2 linked regions of the Diceros bicornis minor genome follow. The protein of the gene in region 2 interacts with the protein of the main gene of each other region in a biochemical or structural test. Links are inferred from orthologs where the notes say so. Each region holds a gene or a part of one and is shown on either strand. Other genes may lie near its edges.

What was found.
Region 1: the proteins of UBXN2B (region 2) and PPP1R11 form a complex in vitro, tested with the Homo sapiens proteins (2 studies listed by BioGRID). The link is inferred for Diceros bicornis minor from reciprocal best matches to the Homo sapiens genes UBXN2B and PPP1R11.

Annotation. Positions count from the first base shown.
Region 1 is NC_080753.1:35,898,511-35,908,443, reverse strand, and holds PPP1R11 (E3 ubiquitin-protein ligase PPP1R11), read left to right. Parts: upstream 1-4,990; 5' UTR 4,991-5,086; coding exon 5,087-5,155; intron 5,156-6,252; coding exon 6,253-6,361; intron 6,362-6,802; coding exon 6,803-7,005; 3' UTR 7,006-8,049; downstream 8,050-9,933. Other genes in the region: POLR1H (DNA-directed RNA polymerase I subunit RPA12), read left to right, coding at 1,982-2,006. UniProt on the Homo sapiens protein: Atypical E3 ubiquitin-protein ligase which ubiquitinates TLR2 at 'Lys-754' leading to its degradation by the proteasome.
Region 2 is NC_080772.1:11,762,514-11,772,603, forward strand, and holds the start of UBXN2B (UBX domain-containing protein 2B), read left to right. Parts: upstream 1-5,205; coding exon 5,206-5,289; intron 5,290-10,090. UniProt on the Homo sapiens protein: Adapter protein required for Golgi and endoplasmic reticulum biogenesis. Involved in Golgi and endoplasmic reticulum maintenance during interphase and in their reassembly at the end of mitosis.

The DNA of each region.
Region 1 (9,933 bases), on a different chromosome or scaffold from region 2:
TCTGTACAGTTCAGATAGTAGGGAGATTTGTGGTCGTTTTTTATTTTTAAAAATTACACTTTTCTTATCCTTTTTATAGCCAGTGAACTAAACCTTTTAAGATATTTTAAAGGAAATGGAAAAATACAGAAGGCAAGTATTGCTTAGTGGTCAGGATGTTATGCTGGAATCTTCTGCTGCACTCAAGGTAGTTTTATTTTGGTGAGAATTAATCGTGCCTAATTTAAAAAACATGGGCTCTCTTAATGGTTTTGAGAACTCCTCTTGGTCTTTGGTGTTCTGCAGTTTCACTACAATATATCAAGATGTGGCTTTCTTTTATTTATCCTGTTTGGGATTTGTTGGACTTTCTAAAACTCAGGATTGACTTTTTTTTCATCAACCTTGGAAAATTATCAGCCATTATCTCATTGAATATTGCTTTTTCTGGAGCTCTAATTAATTAGTTGTTTAATAAACCTTCTCTTTCACCCTCCATTTCTCTCACCCTGTCTTTCATATTTTTCATCTCTTTTTCTCTTTATGCTGCCTCTGGGTAAATTCTTCAGGTCTCTCTTCCAGGTCACTAACTCTGTCTTCAGTTTATTTCAATTATTGTTACTTTAGAAAAAGTTTTCTTTTGAGTTCTACTTGATTATTTTTTCAAATTTCCTCAGTCATTATAATTCCCAATTCCTTAATCATATTTTAAATTGCTCCTTTTAGTCTTAAAATGTTACTTTTAAATATATTAAACATGATGATTTATACTGTGTCTGATAATTCTGATACCCATCATTTTTGTGAGTCTGATACTGCTGTCTGTTATTTTTGCTGACTCTCTCATGGTGCTTTTTTTCTTTGTTTTGTGATTTTTGACTATAAGCTTGGATTTTTTAGAGTCTGAAGTATGGGAATTCTTTGAGGCCTGGGGTGAATGCTGTATCCTCAGCATCTATGTTTCCTGTTCAGGTGCCTTGAGGCACTACCGAGCCGGAATTACTTTAAATAAATTCTTGGCTTCAGGTTTTTTGGAGCACATAGGTAGTATAAATTCGGGCTGCAAATCCATATAAGGGCCAGCTTATGGTTAGAAATTCTCAGAGAAGATTTTTTCTCCCTCTACCTTGTGAGGTAGTCAGATTCCCCTTCTGCAGAGGTGGATTTTTTTTTTCCTTGTTCACTTTTACACAAAGGAGTAGCCCTTTGGGTGGCCCAAATTTATGCAGAGTATCTCCATTCTAGGTTTCTAGTTCCTCCCTGTGGCTGTCAAAACAGCAAGGGCACTATGGTAGCAAGGACTTGAGTTTAACTTACCTGTCTAGATTCCTGGTTTTACATCATTTTACCCAGTGTGAAGGTTGCCTTTACTTTCTTGCCATCTCTTCAATGGATTAAAAATATTTATAGTTAGATATATCTTTTGAGAGGACTTTTTTCCCAATCTGTCCTTTGTATTTTTTTAACTATTTTTTTTTTTTATTAATGAGAAGTTCTTAAGTTTTGTGAGGTCCAGTTTATCCTTTTTTTTTTCTTTTATGGCTAGTACTTTTTGTGTCCTAAGAAATCTTTGCATATTTCATAATTCATTCGATTTTTTTTTGATGAGGAAGATCAGCCCTGAGCTAACATCCATTGCCAATCTTCCTCTTTTGCCTGAGGAAGATTACCCCTAAGCTAACATCTGTGCCCATCTTCCTCTATTTTGTATATGGGATGCCGCCACAGCATGGCTTGATGAGTGGTGCAAAGGTCTGTGCCCAGGAATCCGAACCTGCAAACTCCGGGCTGCCAAAGCGGAGTGTAGGAACTTAGCTAGGCTACCGGGCTGGCCCCGAATTCCAGCATTTTTAGTGGTCTTAAATTTGGAGGATTGTTTAAGGGAGCTAGTCCTCCACAGTGTCATAAGTGAAAGTCCTTCCTTGATTATTTGTGTGTCTCATCTTAAATTGCTGGAACCTCTTCCTTTGTTCAAATATAACAAGTTCTTTTTTCTTCATAGGTTTCAGGAGAAGGAAGACTCTTGATTTTTTTTTTCTGGACGACTCAACAATCCCTTCCTCTCTTCTTCCTTGGAAGGTGAAGGATATTGGGTTCTCAGATCCTTTGTCCATCCCCTGTTTGCAGTGTTTTGCTCCCAGAGGAGAAGATCATCATATGGGGATTACCATTGTCTCCAGAGTACTCCTACCTTTAGTTGAGTTTCCTTATTAAAGTTATATTTTTATATAAGAGCCAGATATATGTATGTTATTTACTGTGTGTCTTGTTCCAAAAGGAATTTAAATGAGCTCACAGAGATATATTTGTTCTTTCAACAAATATATCAGCTACAAAAAGATAATATAAATTAGTACATGACAAAGAAAAAGGAAAAAAAACAAAGAGAAAAGAATGGAGCCAGGAATGAGGCTAATATAAAAAAGCAATGTTGGGGCCAGCCTGGTGGCATAGTGGTTAAGTTTGTGGGCTCCACTTCTTTTTTTTTTTTATTTATTATTTATTTATTTATTTTCCCCCCAAAGCCCCAGTAGATAGTTGTATGTCATAGCTGCACACATCCTTCTAGTTGCTGTATGTGGGACACGGCCTCAGCATGGCCGGAGAAGCAGTGGGTCGGTGCGCGCCCGGGATCCGAACCCGGGCCGCCAGCAGCGGAGCTTGCGGACTTAACCGCTAAGCCACGGGGCCGGCCCTGTGGGCTCCACTTCTGTCAGCCCAGGGTTTGCAGGTTCAGATCCTGGCACGGACTTATGCACCACTCATCAAGCCATGCTGTGGCAGGCCTCCCACATAAAATGGAGGAAGATGCGCATGGATGTTGGCCCAGGGCCAGTCTTCCTTAGCGAGAAAGAGGAGGATTGGCAACAGTTGTTAGCTCAGGGCTAGTCTTCCTCACGATAAAAAAAAAAAAAACAGCAATGTTAACTTACTATCTAAATCTATTTAGTTCCTGAGTTTAGGGAAACAAAAAGTGGGAGTTTGGATAGTGAGAGATTCAACAGAAAATTTGATGAGATATATTTGATGTGTAAGTTAGGACAACAAAAAATCTGATACTAAGGGATACTAGTATGTACTTGCGACAGGTGGACATTTTGGAAATTGTTTTTTTTATTGCTCTTGAGGTAAATATAATATATATTCATTGTGATAGATTCTTATATAGAAAGGTAGAAAGAAAAAAAAATCACAAGGAATCCACAGAGATATTTGGTTTTCTTTTTTTTAAATAGGCTCTACTATACATGCTCAGTATCTTTTTTTTTTTTAATTTTATTTATTTATTTATTTTTTCCCCAAAGCCCCAGTAGATAGTTGTATGTCATAGCTGCACATCCTTCTAGTTGCTGTATGTGGGACATGGCCTCAGCATAGCTGGAGAAGCAGTGCGTTGGTGCGCACCCGGGATCCCAACCTGGGCCACCAGCAGCGGAGTGCGCACACTTAACCGCTAAGCCATGGGGCGGGCCCCATGCTCAGTATCTTGCTTTTTTCACTTTGAACCAAAAACTTAAAAGGGAAACAAATATATAGTCCAGGCACAATAAACATATTCAAATTTTAGTCTGAGCATCAGTCTTCCTGCATTCCTTGGCTTAAATGGCAATCAATGGGTGACAGTAATACTGATTATCTTGTCATTGTATGGCCCTTTATATATTCAGAGCTCTCAAGCATACCCTATCTTGTTTGACCTCTTCAGCAACTTGGAGGGATGGGCAGGGCAGTCTTCTCCACTGTACTTTTGAACTGTTCTTGTAGTTGACTTTCCCGCCCTACTCCTGAAATCTGAAACAAATCTGTGCATGTTTCTACCCTCCCCTTTCCTGGCCCCTAACACTGACTGGATAAAGGCCAAGTTTCTTAGTAAAGCAGACAGGGCCTCCCATATAACCACCCCTACCTGTCAAGCTTTGTCAGGCACTCCCCTTACATCTCAGCAGGTCAAAACTGCATTTCCATCAGTGCACACAGCTACACTTTGTAAGCTTCTCTCTTTACCAAAAAAAACAAAATAACATTTGCCTTCCACTTCCCTTTTTACCACTCTTTTGCTCCCTGAGAAACATGCACATATTTTTTACCATAGCATAAACTGGCCTATATTGTAATTTATGACCATTTCTGTGCTTAATCTTACCTCCATCCCAGAGAGAATGTTGGCAGTATGTAACTGAAATCAGTTTCACAGATGAGATTTACATCTATGTTAATATCCCAGTGTCTTATAGTTTTGTTGGTCCTAAGCATGCCAGTCTTTCCCACTAGACTGGGAGCTAAAAGGCAGGGTCTGCGTGTTTTATCGCTTTTATCTTCAAGATCTAGCACAGTGACAGGAAAAAATACAAGTTGAAGGTGCATTAAGTGCCCCGCTCAAACACCTGCAGGCCCAGGGCGAGGACTAGAACCCAGATTCTTAAGCAAGTGCGTTTCCAACTGCTCCTAGGTCCTGGTTCTCTGATTCCCAGTCGAAACAATAATAGGGGAAATAACAATAATAGACGAAACGAAAATAGGCCATTGTAGAGTTATTACTATTGCCCCTAAGTTTCCCCCGCTCTCCCACCCACCCAGGGTTAAAGATGGGGAAGAGGATGGGCTCAGCTACCGGACGTCTGAACCAGGTGCGGCACTCGCCCTTCCCCGGCGGCGGGCACCGCGCCACACCCGATCCGCAGCGGCCAACCCAGCTCTCCCCTTCCGGACCGCCCCCTCCTGCCTGCTCTGTGCTGTACGTGCGCGCGCTGCCCTTGACGACCCCCCTCCTCCCACAGCCGCAGTGACGCCTCTTCCGCCAAGTCTGTGTCGCTTTCTTGTGGCGCCTGCGCACTGTCACATTACGGCGGAACTAATCCGGCGACGCCTGCGCTTTAACGCGCTTAGTGCAAAAGGGGGACTACGGAATGCGTCACACCCGGAAGAGGAGAGCCGGAAGTGGGGTTGGACAGGTTATCCCCAGGGGTGGGGAAGCAGAGGCCCAAGAGGAAGGGAGAAAAAGAAGGTGGAGGATCCTGGCTACTACTCTGAATCCGATACCGATTCTTTTAGACCCCAGAAACACAGAAAAAGGAAAGGGTGTCCCTTCCTCTCCTCAGCCTTAGCCATGGCCGAGGCAGGGGCAGGGCTGAGTGAGACCATCACTGAGACAACGGTTACCGTGACAACCGAGCCCGTGAGAAAGGCGGGGGGCGGTGCTTTGTAGGGGTCTGGGAGATACCGAGAGGGAGGGGATAGGGCTTTTGAGAGTAGCTCGACGGGCCTGGCCTGGGCATATGGGAAGAGTGGGGTTGACTATCTGGGGTTGGGAGAATCACAAGATACTGGGGATATTTGGAGTGGCAGAGATGGTGCAGGAGGCTGATCAAGCGATGTGTAATAGTTAGAGTTAGGATGCTGCTGCGTGGGGTGGTGGTGTGTGTAAATAATGAAAGAATGGGAGCTCGGGGATTAAGGGGTAAGGGAGGTGCTGGGGGGAAATGAAGGGCTGTGTAAGAAAGCATGGTTGGAGGCAAGCTGTAGGAGAGTTTGACTGGAAGCGTACTTATCCTTAAATATTTGTTGAAGGGATGAGTGTAAAAGAGAGTGGATGGAATAATGGAACAAGAAAAAGGAGATGAAGATAATATTTTGTGAAATCAGAGATGTAAATAGAGGAAAACCTAGCATTTTTTCAAAAACAGATTAAGTTGCTTTCAAAGGGAGAACGTCGTATTGGGCTTAATAACCCCTGGATTAAAGGATTTTTGAGTAATAGTTACCAGAGATACCAGGATGCTAGGGAGTAGGTGGATAAGAGGTGGGGAGGCCTGGGCTTGAAGATGAGAAAGGTGAGAATGGGGTTCTTTCTTTACTGGTAAGAAGAATAGGGGGTCTGGAAAAAGATCAAAGATTAGGCATTGGGGACTGAGAAAATAATTTTCATGTATTAATACCACCGAGGATGATTTGGGGAGGAAGACGGAGAAACAGCGAGGATTATATTTTCCTTTGAAGATTTGCTGGGACCTTCCCTAGGTTAGGAACTGTGTCTTCTCTGTATACTGGCAGTTATCAAGAACAGGAAATAATACTTCTCTATTCCTCAAGGGGCTGCCTGAGGTCAAAGGCCTGTTAACTATTTTATCTTCTCTTAGCACTCAGCTCCCCTGGGGCTATGTCTGTGATACTGATTGAGCTGGGAAGGGGAAGAGAGAATGCCCCTGGGAGGGAGTGGGAAAGATCAGTAAGGAGCAGACTAGATAGTTATGCCCTTCCCTCGTAACCTTCCAGGAGAACCGGAGCCTAACCATCAAACTTCGGAAACGGAAGCCAGAGAAAAAGGTGGAATGGACAAGTGACACTGTGGACAACGAACACATGGGGCGCCGCTCATCAAAATGTGAGTAATTGTTGTCCCACAGTAACCCTGGAATTCTGGCTCCCCTCTGCCTACCTTCTACCTTCTCACATTCACTGGCCTTCCTGAAGCCCCCAGATGCTCGCAATCCTGTCGCTGCCTTGGTTGTTCCCTGGCATCAGGGAAAGGAGGTTAATGTTAGAGGGAAAGAGATAGGGAGGGGCTTGAATTGTGATGTGCCAAGGCCTGAAGGCAAGAGGTATCAGAGGTGGGAGAAGTAGAGCTTTGGATTCCTGGGTCTCGAAAAGGACAAGGGAGTTGGGTGCCTGAGTCCCAGGGGGTAGGCCTGGGGAAGCTGTATCCTGGAAGGTAGGAGGAGACAATGGTGGAAGTAGGAATCTTTACTGAGATCCAGTGGGAATGGAACAGACTCTACATCTTACTCTTCCTCCTTTTTAACTGGGCTCCTCCCTCCAAATCCAGGCTGCTGTATTTATGAGAAACCTCGGGCCTTTGGCGAGAGCTCCACGGAGAGTGATGAGGAGGAAGAGGAGGGCTGTGGTCATACACACTGTGTACGGGGCCACCGCAAAGGACGGCGTCATGCAACCCCGGGACCGAGCCCCACCACCCCTCCCCAACCTCCTGACCCCTCCCAGCCCCCTCCAGGGCCAATGCAGCACTAAATTCCTCTCTCCCCCACCATTCCTGTGTCTGTTTGGCCCTGAATGTATTCATGTGGCTACCTGGGGTCTAAACTCATGGTTTGATCCCTTCTCCAGCCCCCTCCTCCCCTCTCCTCTGCCTGATAGAGGGAAGAGGGAGCGGTGAGTGGACAGAGAACCTGGAATTCTGACTTGCTGCTATTCCAGAACCCAGGCTTCTGGGTTCCCTTAGCCCTCATTTCTCCTTCCATTACCCATCCTCCTCTCTCCAGGGATCCAGGCATCTTGGTCCCAGTTTCTTCCCTTTGTTCTCACTGCCAAACTGCCTGTCCTGGGATCCAGTTATCTTGGCCCCCTGCACTCTCTCCCTGAGTCCCAAACACTTAAAGTGGGTTTCCATCAGCCCCAGCTTTCACTGCCAGAGTCCCAGTCAGATTCCAGGCAATCTTGCCCCAGCTATGCTTGTTAATCCTGGCTTAGAGCTCTTCAACTATGTATTTATATAGTCCTAACTCTTAGTCCTTGCCTGTGGGATATGAGGTCTGATGGGAGACCTCAGGGCTCCCAGCCCTTCCCCTCCTCCTCACTCCTCTCATGCCCTCAAGAGGAGTTAGGAGAAAGGTCTTTGTCATCCTCACCTTTAAGGGAAAAAGAAATAGTCATGTCCTCTCTCGTCACCCTTCTCATGTGATCTAGGATTTCTGACACAGCTGGCTCACTTAGAGCCAACTGTCTCCTCAGCTTTTGGTCTTCCAGCTTCAGAGACAGTTAAAACAGCGCCAGGGGCCTGGGTCCCTGGGAGAGGAAGGAAAAGGGAGGGAGCAAAGAGCTGGGGGTATGTCCCCTACACCACACTCTTACCCCTTCCTTCCTAGGCTTTGATGTCTCTGCCAGTCCAGATGGCCAGCTCTCTCGGCCCTCCCCACCCCTTACTGGGATCTGGATATTGTCTTCCAGGCCTCTTGCCATGCATCTCTAGTTGCAGAGATCAGTCAAATCCATACCACCGTGGAGATCTCATTTATTGCCACAGATGCACAAAATAAATAATGCAACATCACAAAACGTGTTAAATATGGGCCCATTTATACATATGGGGAAAGATGTGAGGCTATACACAAGGATAAATTTGGGGTGTCTGGGCCATTCCCAGGTTGAGGAAAGGAGAGGTAGCACCATTGGTTTCTTACTTTGAGTATGTGCAGGGGGGAGATTTAAGAAGGTTCTTAATGGGAAAGGCTGTGAGCACAGAAAGCCGTCAAGAGTGGAGTAGAACTGGCCTGCCTCTCTCCCTGCCCTCCAAAAAAGGGGTATTAAGGGGCCGGGCCTGTGGCATAGTGGTTGAGTTTGGTGCTCTCTGCTTTGGTGGCCAGGGTTCTTGGTTCAGATCCCCAGCGCAGACCTGCACCACTCATCAGCCATGCTGTGACAGCAACCCACATGTAGAGGAGGATTGGCACAGATGCTAGCTCAGGGCTCATCTTCAACAAAAAAAGAAGGGGCGGGGGTGGTATTAAGCTCTCTAGAAAGCCCTAAGGCCCAAGCCAGAGTCACGTCTCCTGTTTTTTAGGAGTAGGCTCTTGTTTCTCTTGAGTCAACAGGGTAGGGAAGCCCAAACCTTAGAGTTGTGGAGAAGGCACTGGGCCCTTCTTTGAGACTAGGCGAGGCAGGGGTGGGAAGTAAATATTTGACTAGCAGGGCCTCTGTAGTAAACACTGGCCATTTACCAATACTGATGGGTCAGGGCCTGGTCCCCAATTCAGGCCTGGAATAGAAGGTAGAAGGGGAGGGATCAGTTGGGAAGTACTGGGGTAGACGTGGAGGAGAAAAGGCGCAAGAGGAGGGGGGCAGGAATGGATTTGACTTTGGGTGTGGATGTGGAAACTGGAGGCCAGTTGAAGTCTTACTATTTGGGAGAAAAGAGACAATGTAGGTGGGTGAGGGTGCTTATCAATACACAGCAGTGGGCTTGTGGACGTGATCCCTGGAATGAGTGGGGATTTCCACGGCCAAAAGGAAGCAGCCTCGTTATGGGCCAAACTAGAATGGGGGTTGTGGGCGAGACTCAGCCTTCCGTTGGCACTATGCGGAGCGGGGCACGGGGGTCTCGGGTGCAGAGCAGTGGGAAGATGCGCTCGCCCAGGGGGCCGGGCGCCTGGAAGGCGAAGAGCAGGTCGAGCGAGCGGCCATCGTAGAAGGCCACGCGGCCCCGCTCCCAGTCCAAGTCCACGCGAATGCGCCGTGGCGGGGGCCCGGTGCTGCCCAGTGGGGTGGGCTCAGGCGCTGTGAGTGCCCACAGGCGGCCACCGCGTCCCTCCACGGCCCACACAGCCCCTGCGGGGCACAGCCCTACTCGGCCCTTGCGTCACACCGACTCCCCGGCAGCTCCCACGGCATAGAGGCTCTCCCCATCCTCCTCCTCCTCCCCGGAGGAGTCTCTGCAAGAGGCAGTGTCCGAGGTTTCCACCTCCCAGCAGTGGCGGCCAGCCCGGAAGCCCTGTGCGCCCAGCACCGCTGGGAGCTGATCGAAGCGCGCGGGGCCATCAGGGGGCGCAGGTGTCCCTGGTGGGGCCAGCCGGACGCTGCGGCGATCCTCGGAGATAAGCAGGCGGCAGTGTGCAGTGCCAGGGTCCAGGGTCAGGTCGGCTGGAGAGGGGAAGGCAGGCAGAGGACCGCGTGAGAGGGTTTTCCGAGTCAGGAGGGATAGAAGGGAGAATACGCAGCAGCAGGCTTGTGAGAGGCCCCACAGCAGCTCAAAGGCAGCTGTAGGACCGAAGAGGGTGAAGGCATATGAAGGGCAGGCCTAGGCAAGACCCAACCTGCGCACTGATGTGCCACTTCTATAGAATTGGACTTGGAGAAGGACCCTGCTGGCCCAGGGCAGGGGGCACAGCGCAGAGATCAAAGGAGAGGTCTCCTGACTTGTGGGCTGGGAGAAGAGTGAGGCTG
Region 2 (10,090 bases):
GAAGGCTGTGATGTGCCTCATGGAGAAAATACATGTATTAGATAAGCTTTGTTCAAGCGTGAGTTATAGTGCTGTTGGCTGTGAGCTCATGTTAATAATTCAACAATATATATTAAATAAGGTGTCTTTTAACAGAAACAGACATAAAACAAGGTTATGTATCAATCAGTTGATGAAAATATGATCAGAGACTTGCAGGAATCTTACCCTGTGTTTCTTCTAGAAGCAATGGTCCAGTATTCACTAATTCAGTGTTCTTGGCAACTTTATAGAACATAACCACTGCAAATAATGAGAGTTTACCATGCACAAATAGTAGGTATGAGAGTGGATGATATTGAATAGTGAAAGCATACACAGTGAGAAACCAAGAGGGCTGAAGACAGAACTCTAGGGAGCACCATCATTTGGAGGGTGGAAAGAAGGCAAAATGTTTAGGGGAAGCTCAAAAGGAATGGTCAGGTAGGTGAGAAGGGAGTGATGAGGAGTACCCTGAGGAAGTTTCAGGAAGGGAACAGTCACCAAAGTCAGGAGGTGCGAAAAAGCTCCCAGGAGACACATAAATGGTATAAAGGAAAAGCATATACTTTTAAGTGTAATGGACCTGAATTTAAAGCTTAGTTCTGTTACCTAACAGCTGGGTGATATGAGGAAATTCACCTTATTTCTCTGGTCCTCAATTACCTCTTCTGTAGAATGAAGACAAATCCTAACCCGGAAGGTTGTAGGTTACATGAAATAACATAAGCAACCATGAAAATAAGCAACTGTAAATACTCTATATTCTGTAAATATTAAAAAACCAAGATTCAAATATTTTAAAGGATGAAATAAGGCTCTTGTGTACTGCAGTGACCTCTGATCTTGGCCTTAGTGATCTTCCAGCATAAGTAAAAGGACACAAGTGTGAGTTTCATTTGAGTTGGGAAGTTGGATACAGTTTATTAGTCCAAGATGGATAGGCCTGCATTTATTCTGCCTCTCCTATCCATATATGATGAAGATCTCTGTTGATATATCTTGTTATTTCTTGACTTTCCTTGAATGGAAAATGGGCTTTGGAGATGATCAAATCTAGGTTTGAGTTATGAATCCCTACTGCCTTCATTCATTCATTCACTCATTCACACACTTATTAAAAGTATATATTATGTTCCAGGTGCTATGTTAAGACACTAGAGATAAAGCCTTGGCCCATGGCATCCATGATCTTACAATCTAATGGGAGGAAAAAATAAGTATAATAAGGTAATAAATTAAGTTTCCAGTTTAAGCACCCCAAGAAATAATACCTTTTATATGTCAAAGCAGGTGTGAGACAGAGTCTCCTGGAGAGTATTTCATATAGAATAAATTCCATGATTCTTGCACCCCCTCAACCACTTTGAGAATATAAAATATCTAGAGAATGGAGGAGGAGTGAGGTATTTGTGATCATATTTCTTGGGAGAAGAAGAGGAAGAGATACTACAGCTTTCATCACAAGCTAAAAGAGAGGGGACTTCAAAGGGACCACGTGAATATCATTGATATTTTTATTCACATTAACAAGATGGGAGTGAAACAACACAAACATATGTAGTAACTCAATGACACAACGTGAGCAACTTCTTTCCTGAATTAGCTAATAATTTTCAAATTCTGGAAGAATATGTCCTTTTTTTCCTTTTTGCTGTTCACAATATAACAGCTACAGACACAGCACACTTTTAAGACTTGACTGCATTGTAAACATTTTCTCCACCACATTCTTAAATCTAGAGTAGACAATGAACAAGATCATAAGTCAAACTCTTATTTGTGTATTTGCCAGTTTCTGAGGTGTAAATACTGCCAGCACGGTGAATTTCAAGCTACCAATGTGTTGTCACTGAATGAGGAGTTGGGAAGCGGTGTACAGTAGGGTGCCATGATATGGTATCTTCACTATATAGATACGATAGAGGTAAATAACCTCAAGAGCATAGATAACAATAAAAATGTTAAATAACTAGTTTTTAAATTTCAATAAAATTTAAATAACTAGGAAATGATTTTTGAGTATTTATTACATTAATTTTTAATATGATTTCATTGTAAGTTTATATAATTTAATTTTTAATAATGGCTGTGTTTAACAACTGCTGCAAAATTCCTGACTATTTAACAATAGGCTCTCACGAGCTGGTATAAGCCACCTCCTGCACACCACTGACATTAAGTACACTGAAAACATAGCCTTCATTGTCCTAGCTGTCACTCTCAAACTACTAAAATATGGATCTTCCTTTCTAGTAGTGACCTTTAGAACAGCAATCTCCTCTTCCCTTAATCCAGCGGATACTTTGCAGTCCTAATCTTACATGATTATCTGTAGGAAATGACACTGTTGGTCTCATCCTTGAAACCATCTTGTTACTAGTTTTTCAGTCTCTTGTCTTCATCCTACCCCTCTGACCATTCCTTACGTCTTCTTTCAATGTTTTCCTTTCTCCATTGAGTCAATGTTGGTGTTTCTGAGTATTCTCCGTCCTCCTGTCTTCTCACATTTCACACGGCCCCTGGGAGCCTCATGTACTCTGCTATCACTTACATTCGGTCAACACCAAATCTGTCAGAACTTGCATAGTCTCCTAATATCTAGACCCACATTTGCAATTGCTCTGTGATGTATTTTCACCCTAGTGTCCCACATAAATTTCAAATTCAAAATGTCCATAACAGACTTGTTTCTTTCTTTTGAAGTTTGCTTCTCCCTTTCAACTCGATAATTTATAGGCAGCACCATTTACCAAATCACTGAACCAAAACCCCAAATTTCATTCTTTATTTCTCCTCCTTTCATATATTCCCTGTGGAAGAATCCAGCACCTATTGGGTCTGACCCTAATATCTCTACCAACTATTGCTTCTCTCTATATTCACTGCCATTGATAAAACTTGAGTCCTAAGAAGCCCTCATTGTTGTAAAAACCTTCTAATTTCCTAACTCTGATTCATCCTACATGCTGAAGCCTCTGTGATCTTTCTAGATCACAAATTGTTTAATGGCTCCCAATTGCCTTAGATCGGTGGTTCCCAGCCGTGGCTGCACAACAGAATTATCTGGGGAGGTTTTTTCCAACCAACTTTATAAATGTGTAATTTACATATAAAGTGCACCTGTTTTAAGTATATAGCTCAGTGTGTTTTTAACAAATGTATATACCTGTGTAACTACCACCACAATCAAGATATAAAACATTTCCATCACTTCAAAAAGTTCCCACACGTCCTTTTTCAGTCAAACTCCCCAAGCTTAACCTTCCCCAAAGAGACAACCCCAAGCAACCACCAGCTTTCTGTCAGTAAGATTAGTTTTGTCTGTTCTAGAATTTCATATAAATTGAATTAGACAATATTTACTCTTTTGCATCTAGCTTCTTTTCCTCAAGATAACATCTTTGAGATTCATCCATGGTGTGTGAATCAGTAATTCCCTCCTTTTTACTGTTGAGTAAGATTCCACTGTATGACCTTTTCAAAATGTTATCCATTCATGTGTTGATGGACATTTGGATTGTTTCAGTTTGGGGCTATTAGGAATAAAACTTCTATGAACATTTGGGTACAAATATTTTTGTAAACATGTTTTCATCTCTCTTGGGTCAGTACGTAGGAGTGGAAATGCTGAGTCTTATGATAACTAAATATTTAACTTTAGAGGAAACTGTTTTCCAAAGTGGCTGTACCATTCTCCATGCCCACCAGCATTGTACGAGATTTCCAGGCAGAAAGCCAGGGCAAACATAGCTCCTCTTGCTTGTTCCCCTTCTCTGGGACATCATAGACCCATGCTGCCTGTTATTCAATGTCTGAAAACAGTTTTTCATATATCTTGTCTAGTTTTTTAATTGTTGGGTGTGGGAAGGAAAGTCCAGTACCAGGTACACTGTCATGACCACAGGCAAAGTCCACTTGGGGAGCATCCTAAAAAGCACAGTCCTTGAGTTCCACCCCATACTAATTAAATCTGAGTCCCCGGGGTGAAGAGGGGAGGGGAGGGGGTTTTAACGTGCAACAACGTTTGAGAATCACTGGCCCAGATGGGAATGTTCAATCTCTTCACTAAGGCAAGATCCTTCAGAATCTGTCGTAAGCCCACATTTCCACTGTAGATCCCCCTCCCCCAGTTAACCATCTTTTGTCACTTCTCCTAAGCTTCAACCGTGTAGTACTCTATCAACATGAACATGATATTTCACATCTGTGCCTTTCCCTGTGGTCCCTTTTGGTCCAAAGTCTACTGGAAGTACTTATCCTTCAAGATTCAGCCAAAACGTCATTGGCTCTAGGGGACACATAGAACAGTCAGGGATTTCCGGGGCAGAATGTTGCAGTAAAAAGAATATTGGGACAACAAATTCAAGATTTAGTATCTGGCACCGCCATTTACAACAAGGTGAATTTAATTGTTATTTATCATCCAGTTTTCTCAGGTAAACACGGTAACAACAATACTTACCTGGCAGAGGGACCGACGAAATTACACATGGAATGCATCTGGCATAGTGTACCTAGGAGACACCAACAGAACACTCCCCTTCACACACCACATGCCACTCATAAGATTTCCTGCAAAGCTCTAACGCAAATTGCATTTTATTATCTGTTTACATCTCTCTATTGCCCACTAGATTGTGAGTTTTAGAATGACCGGGACTACTTCTTTTTACCTTTGCATCCCGGGGGCATAAAAGTGCCTGAGATAAGACAGGAGTTTAAATAAACCTCGGATGAATGAAGAGGGTTTAGTAGTCTCTAGTTCGGATTGCAAAGAGCCTTTAGGGTGTTCTTCGTCATCAAGACCAATTCACGCTTTGGGGGTGAAGTAGCACGCAGTCCTGGGTGGGGAATTGAGAGAATTTGACCAAGACTAGACAAGTAAGGCTGCAATCTTTATCAGATAACACACCTAGAGGACGTTCTCCTCGTCGAGTTAGCAGAAGCTGCAGGTCTGCGCTGCCCTCGCGGGCGGCCTACAGCGCCTTCGGGTGTGCGGCAGACGGAACGCGAGCCTCACGCAGAGGCTTCTCGGCGGGGAAATTCTCTGAGCCCGTTTCCTTTACGGACAAAAGCGGGCCAGGGCAGGTGGGCCGGCGCCGGAAGAGAGGGGCGCGCGGGCACCGCCCCCCGCGGTTGCCAGGCAACCGGCCCCGGAAGTGGCGGGAGGCGCGCGGCTGCGAGATGGCGGAGGGCGGCGGCGCCGAGCCGGCCGAGCGGGAGCGGAGGGGCGGCGGGCCGCGGCCGCCGAGCGCGCGGGACTTGCAGGTGCGGCGAGCGGCCGAGGGCGGGGCGCGGCGGCGGGTGGCAGCGCGACGGGTGCGTGTCGGAGGCGCCCGTGGCCTCGGCTGAGCCCGCCCGGACCTCATCGGGGGCAGAGTTGTGACTCGGGCGGCGCATCGCACGGGGCTGGCGGTGGAAACAAGTGCCCGACCCCGACCCCGACCCCCGCTAGAGCTGCTGCCGCGTTTCCGCTCCACCCCGTTTGCAATTTAAGCAGCAGCTGTTCGTTTAGAACGGCCTGTTGTGGGGTGAGTTGAGTGGTTCGCCGGTTGATGCTTCTTCCTGCAGGACATTTCCTGCAGAAGAGAGCTTTGCTGTGGCTTGGGGACATCAGCCATCGCGTAAAAAGTAATAACGTGTGTGCATGTTTGATCTTGTTTTGGATGCTGTTCCTGTCTTGATTACTTTTATATAAAAATAGTTCCTTTTTATTAGATAGCTTTTCCCTACTAAAGGGGTGAACTAAGGTATTTCATCCTGCGGCTGCACAGCCTAGTTGTAAAAGCTACAGCCTGTAAAACATTGCACACAAGAAACGGGGAAATAAAACTTTATAATGTTATAGAATACTGGCATTTGTTAGCTAATTACAGGTGCACCAAATCTTTCTTGATCAGATGCTTAATAATACTTTGCTCGGTTTAGGCTTTTTTCTGTCTCCTTATATAAGATGATGGATATAATTAAACAAGTAAACATCTATAAGGAGCCATAATTATAAATAAATGACACTAAATCCACAAGCCTTGGTAGAAAAGTTCTATTACGTGATAGTCACACCTTCCTTCTATTTCTTTGAACAAACATACATTGACCACCTGCCATGTAACATACCGCTAAGCTCTGGGAAATGCAGAGATAAATAGGACGTCAAATCCACACTTGGTGTGGACACTGTTGAAAGAGATAGAAGTGTAAAAGACATTTCTACCTATTTTTTTGCAGAAATAAGATATGACTATATTTAACATAACACTTTGAGATCGAGTATGATTGAGTGCCAAAATAAGCAGTGCATAAAATGAGGTATTTGGACAATGGAAAGATCAGTGTTAGGTTAGGAGATGAACACAAAGTGGAATAGTTCCATTGCCCATAAGTCAATTCAGTAGTAGTAAACAGAATCAAGGAATAGGAAGCGGTCATCTCTCTCGTCTTTTCTGTTGTAGACCACCAGCACTAAGAGGCAACATGGGATGTTGGGTGAAAATGGAGTTTCTGGTCACACCAACTTCGGTTTGCATTTTGGTCCTGCCAGTTAGTAGCTGTGTGAATATGGAGAAATGTCTTAACCTCTCTGATCCCAGTGTCTTTATTTGTAAACTGGAAGTGATGGTGGTCGTGTCAAGGATGGAATAAAGTAATGTCTATGAAGTGCCCATGCACAACTCCCATATTATCCTGGCACAGTACTTGCTTGGTAAATATTTGGTTCCTTTTTCCCTTAAAGGAGAAAAATACTGTTAACTTTTGCTGGTTAGTCCATTCTAATGCCATTAAAGTTAAAACTATGTAGCTTAATATCCTTTCTCTAGTTTATATCCATTTCTTCTTTTTATGTGAAAAAAGAGAACAGCTTGGTTAATACTCACCTGATACTTGACAAATTTACAGACTTAACCCAGTGGATTAATATATGATTAGTGGTTAGAGATATTCTGGTAGATGTTGCTAATTGTGAGAATGCATTTCTTTCCACCATCAATGAGAAGATAGATTTTTTTTCATCTTCTGTCTGCTTTCTGGTAGGCAGGTTGGTAGGTAGATAACTGATTTTTTTTTTTATGAGTGTGAGTTGATACATCAAATATACTAAATATTGATAATCTTTCCTTTAGAATTTAATAAGAATGTGAAGAACTTGCAAAGAAACCTGAAAACAACCAAAGTGATGACGTATGAAGGAATAGAGTATGTATCAAAGGTTTAAAAGAATTGGATAATGTTCTTTTCCCCAACTGGTTTCTTGGATATTGATTATTTTTTGGACTATCTTGTTATTGTTTGATCTAGCCAGGCTTATCTTAAGAGTTACCCAGTTAGTGCAGTTTTCCGTGGAGACTTCTTACTTTCAGCTTACGGACAGCTTGCTCTAAGAGTCTTTCACGATATTATAAAGGGTGATGTATTGCTAACTGGAACAAGCAAAAGTACCCTTAAGTACATATATCTTAGCTGCCATGCGGTGTAGGGTTTGTCAGCATCTAGATCAGGAGAGATTTCCTCATTTACTATGAGAGGAAAGATGGATATTTGTCTTACATAAAGCCTCCCAGGACCATGAGCCTCTGAGTTACAAGCTGCAGAAATCTCCCGTGGATATCAACCAAGAGTAGATCTTAGTTCCCATCATCCCCCCAATTGGGAAACATTCAGTGGGAAAGTTTGGGGCGGGATTGTTAGTGACAGTGCTAACCCTAATCCGTTGGATATCCGTATACCCTATGAGTGGTTCTCAATTTTAGTGTGCATCAGAATCACCTGGAAGGCTTGTGAAAGCACACATTGCTGGGCCCCACCCCAGAGTTTCTAATTCATTAGGTCTAGGGTGCGGCTGGAGCATCTGCGTTTTTCAAAGGTTCCTGGGTGATGGTGATATTGCTATACTGTTATTGCATTATACCCTCTGTCAGTTGTCACTCTAAGACTGAGAATTCCAGTACTTTTAATCTCTTGCTATGAACTTGATTTTCTCACTCTCAATTACTTTGCCTTCAGGTTTCTTTTCACATTCTTCACATTTCAAATTCTAGAGAAAAGATTATCAATGCTTACACACTTTTATTCTCTCTGTGTAATTGAAATATCTTCATAATCTAATTGTTTAGCTTGTGGAATACGCTGTCGGGGTAATTCACAATGCTTCATTACTTCACAATGCACATATTTTTATCTCTTTATTTGACTGAGATTTTGTTGTTGTTCTGTTGGTTTTGACCAGTACTTCAATTTATTTTGATCAGTTTAAATAATCATTTCCTCTTCTGGTGTGGTGTCATTTGCTATGACAAATAATACATTTTAAATTTCTTTGTAATATTTACTAGTGAACTTATGCCATATGATGCTACAGGGACATCATGACTCCTGACATTAATTCCCTCTAAATATCATTCATTTTCCTTTAAGTTAATGATGTATCATTAATAACTAGGACCTTTCAGCTAGGTGACTCCTTGCACTGTATGATTTTCTCCATATTCCTATATTTATATTCCTATGTATATATATATTCCTATGTATTCCAGAGTTAATATATATTCCACATTCCATGGAGTCAAAAGGCTTTATTCATTTATTTCACAGAAGAAAATTATAATTTGATTGACAGGGTTTATTCAAATCTTCTTAAAGCAAAAAACAAGCTGTAAAACTATATCAAATATAATCTCAATTTTAAAATCTATAACTGTATTCTGTCTATCTATATCTCTTTATGATTCATATTCTGTTACAGTCTATGTAATTCAGCATGAATTTGTTGGGTGCCTGTTAAGTACTATGTTAGAAACAATTTGGGAAACCTAACATGTAGTAGGGGGAATAAAATACTAAGAAAAGTACACAAGTGATGACAGTATAGTGTTTAATACAAAGGTCGATGATAAGATAGCATATCCTATGAGGATTTAGAAAAGAAATATCATTTAGTTAAGAAAATTAGAAAAGGCTTCGTGAAGGGTGGCTGAAATGGGCCTTTGAAATACAGATAACATTTCCATGGGTGGGAGTAGGACTAGCATAAAATTCATAGAGCTGAAATAATACAAGCAGCCCAGGAGGAAATCCATCAAGGAATACTGTTGTGAAGAGATTTCAGGGAGGTAAAATTTCTGAAAACTGTGGGCTCAAGTAGTCAGTCAGAGTGTCTGTCTGTCTGTCTGTGTCTCCCTCTCTGTCTCTTCTCCCTCATTTGTTTTGTGTTTTTTGTATTTTGGAGGGCACAGGGTGGGAAAAGACCGTACGGCATACATAGATAACACTGCAGGAAGCAAGAAATCTTGGGGAAAATGAAACACTGATGTAATCATTGTTAAACATCTAGTAACGGAGTACTTGCCTTGTACCTCACATATGTTATGTAATCCATAAGATGACCCTCTAAGGTAATTTTTTTATGGACATTTAAAGGGAATTAAGGCTCAGGAAAGTTAAATAATTGTCACACAATAAGAGCCTAAGTTAGGATTTTAATTCAGTTCTTTTAGATTACAAAACACTTTTATAATTAGGATTTCTAGCAAAATTGCCATGTTAGAAATAGGAAATTTAATGTATGTGTATGGGGGGTGGAGTGGGGGTAAAAAACTTAGGAAAAATAAAGCTTTTCATTTTTGTTTTCTTGTGTGTATATTTTAAAAGTTGAGTGATAGAATCTTGAAAGAATTAACTTTGCCCCAATTCTTTATGCTTTTCCTACTGAGGAAAGAAGCCATGGAGGTATTTTTCATATCCCTTGTGTTTCTGGATGGAGCGCTTTATCTGGGTTTTTTGGGGGTTTTTCTGTTTTTTCTTTCCAAAAGATTTCCCAAAGGTTACAGTCATGCCAATTATAATGGAATAGCCTCAAGGGACATTAAGGAAAGTTTTTGGGTTTTTGACATCCAAAGAGTCATAAGTGGGAACAAAATAATACTGAAATATTTGGTTAACTTTTTAAAATTCCAATTTTAAGAACTATGTTTTGTTTATTTTGTTTTGAAGATATCCAGCTTTATATCTATAATGCATAATTTCATAATAATGCTTTCTAAAAGTTATATAAACCATATATATAATTCATTGT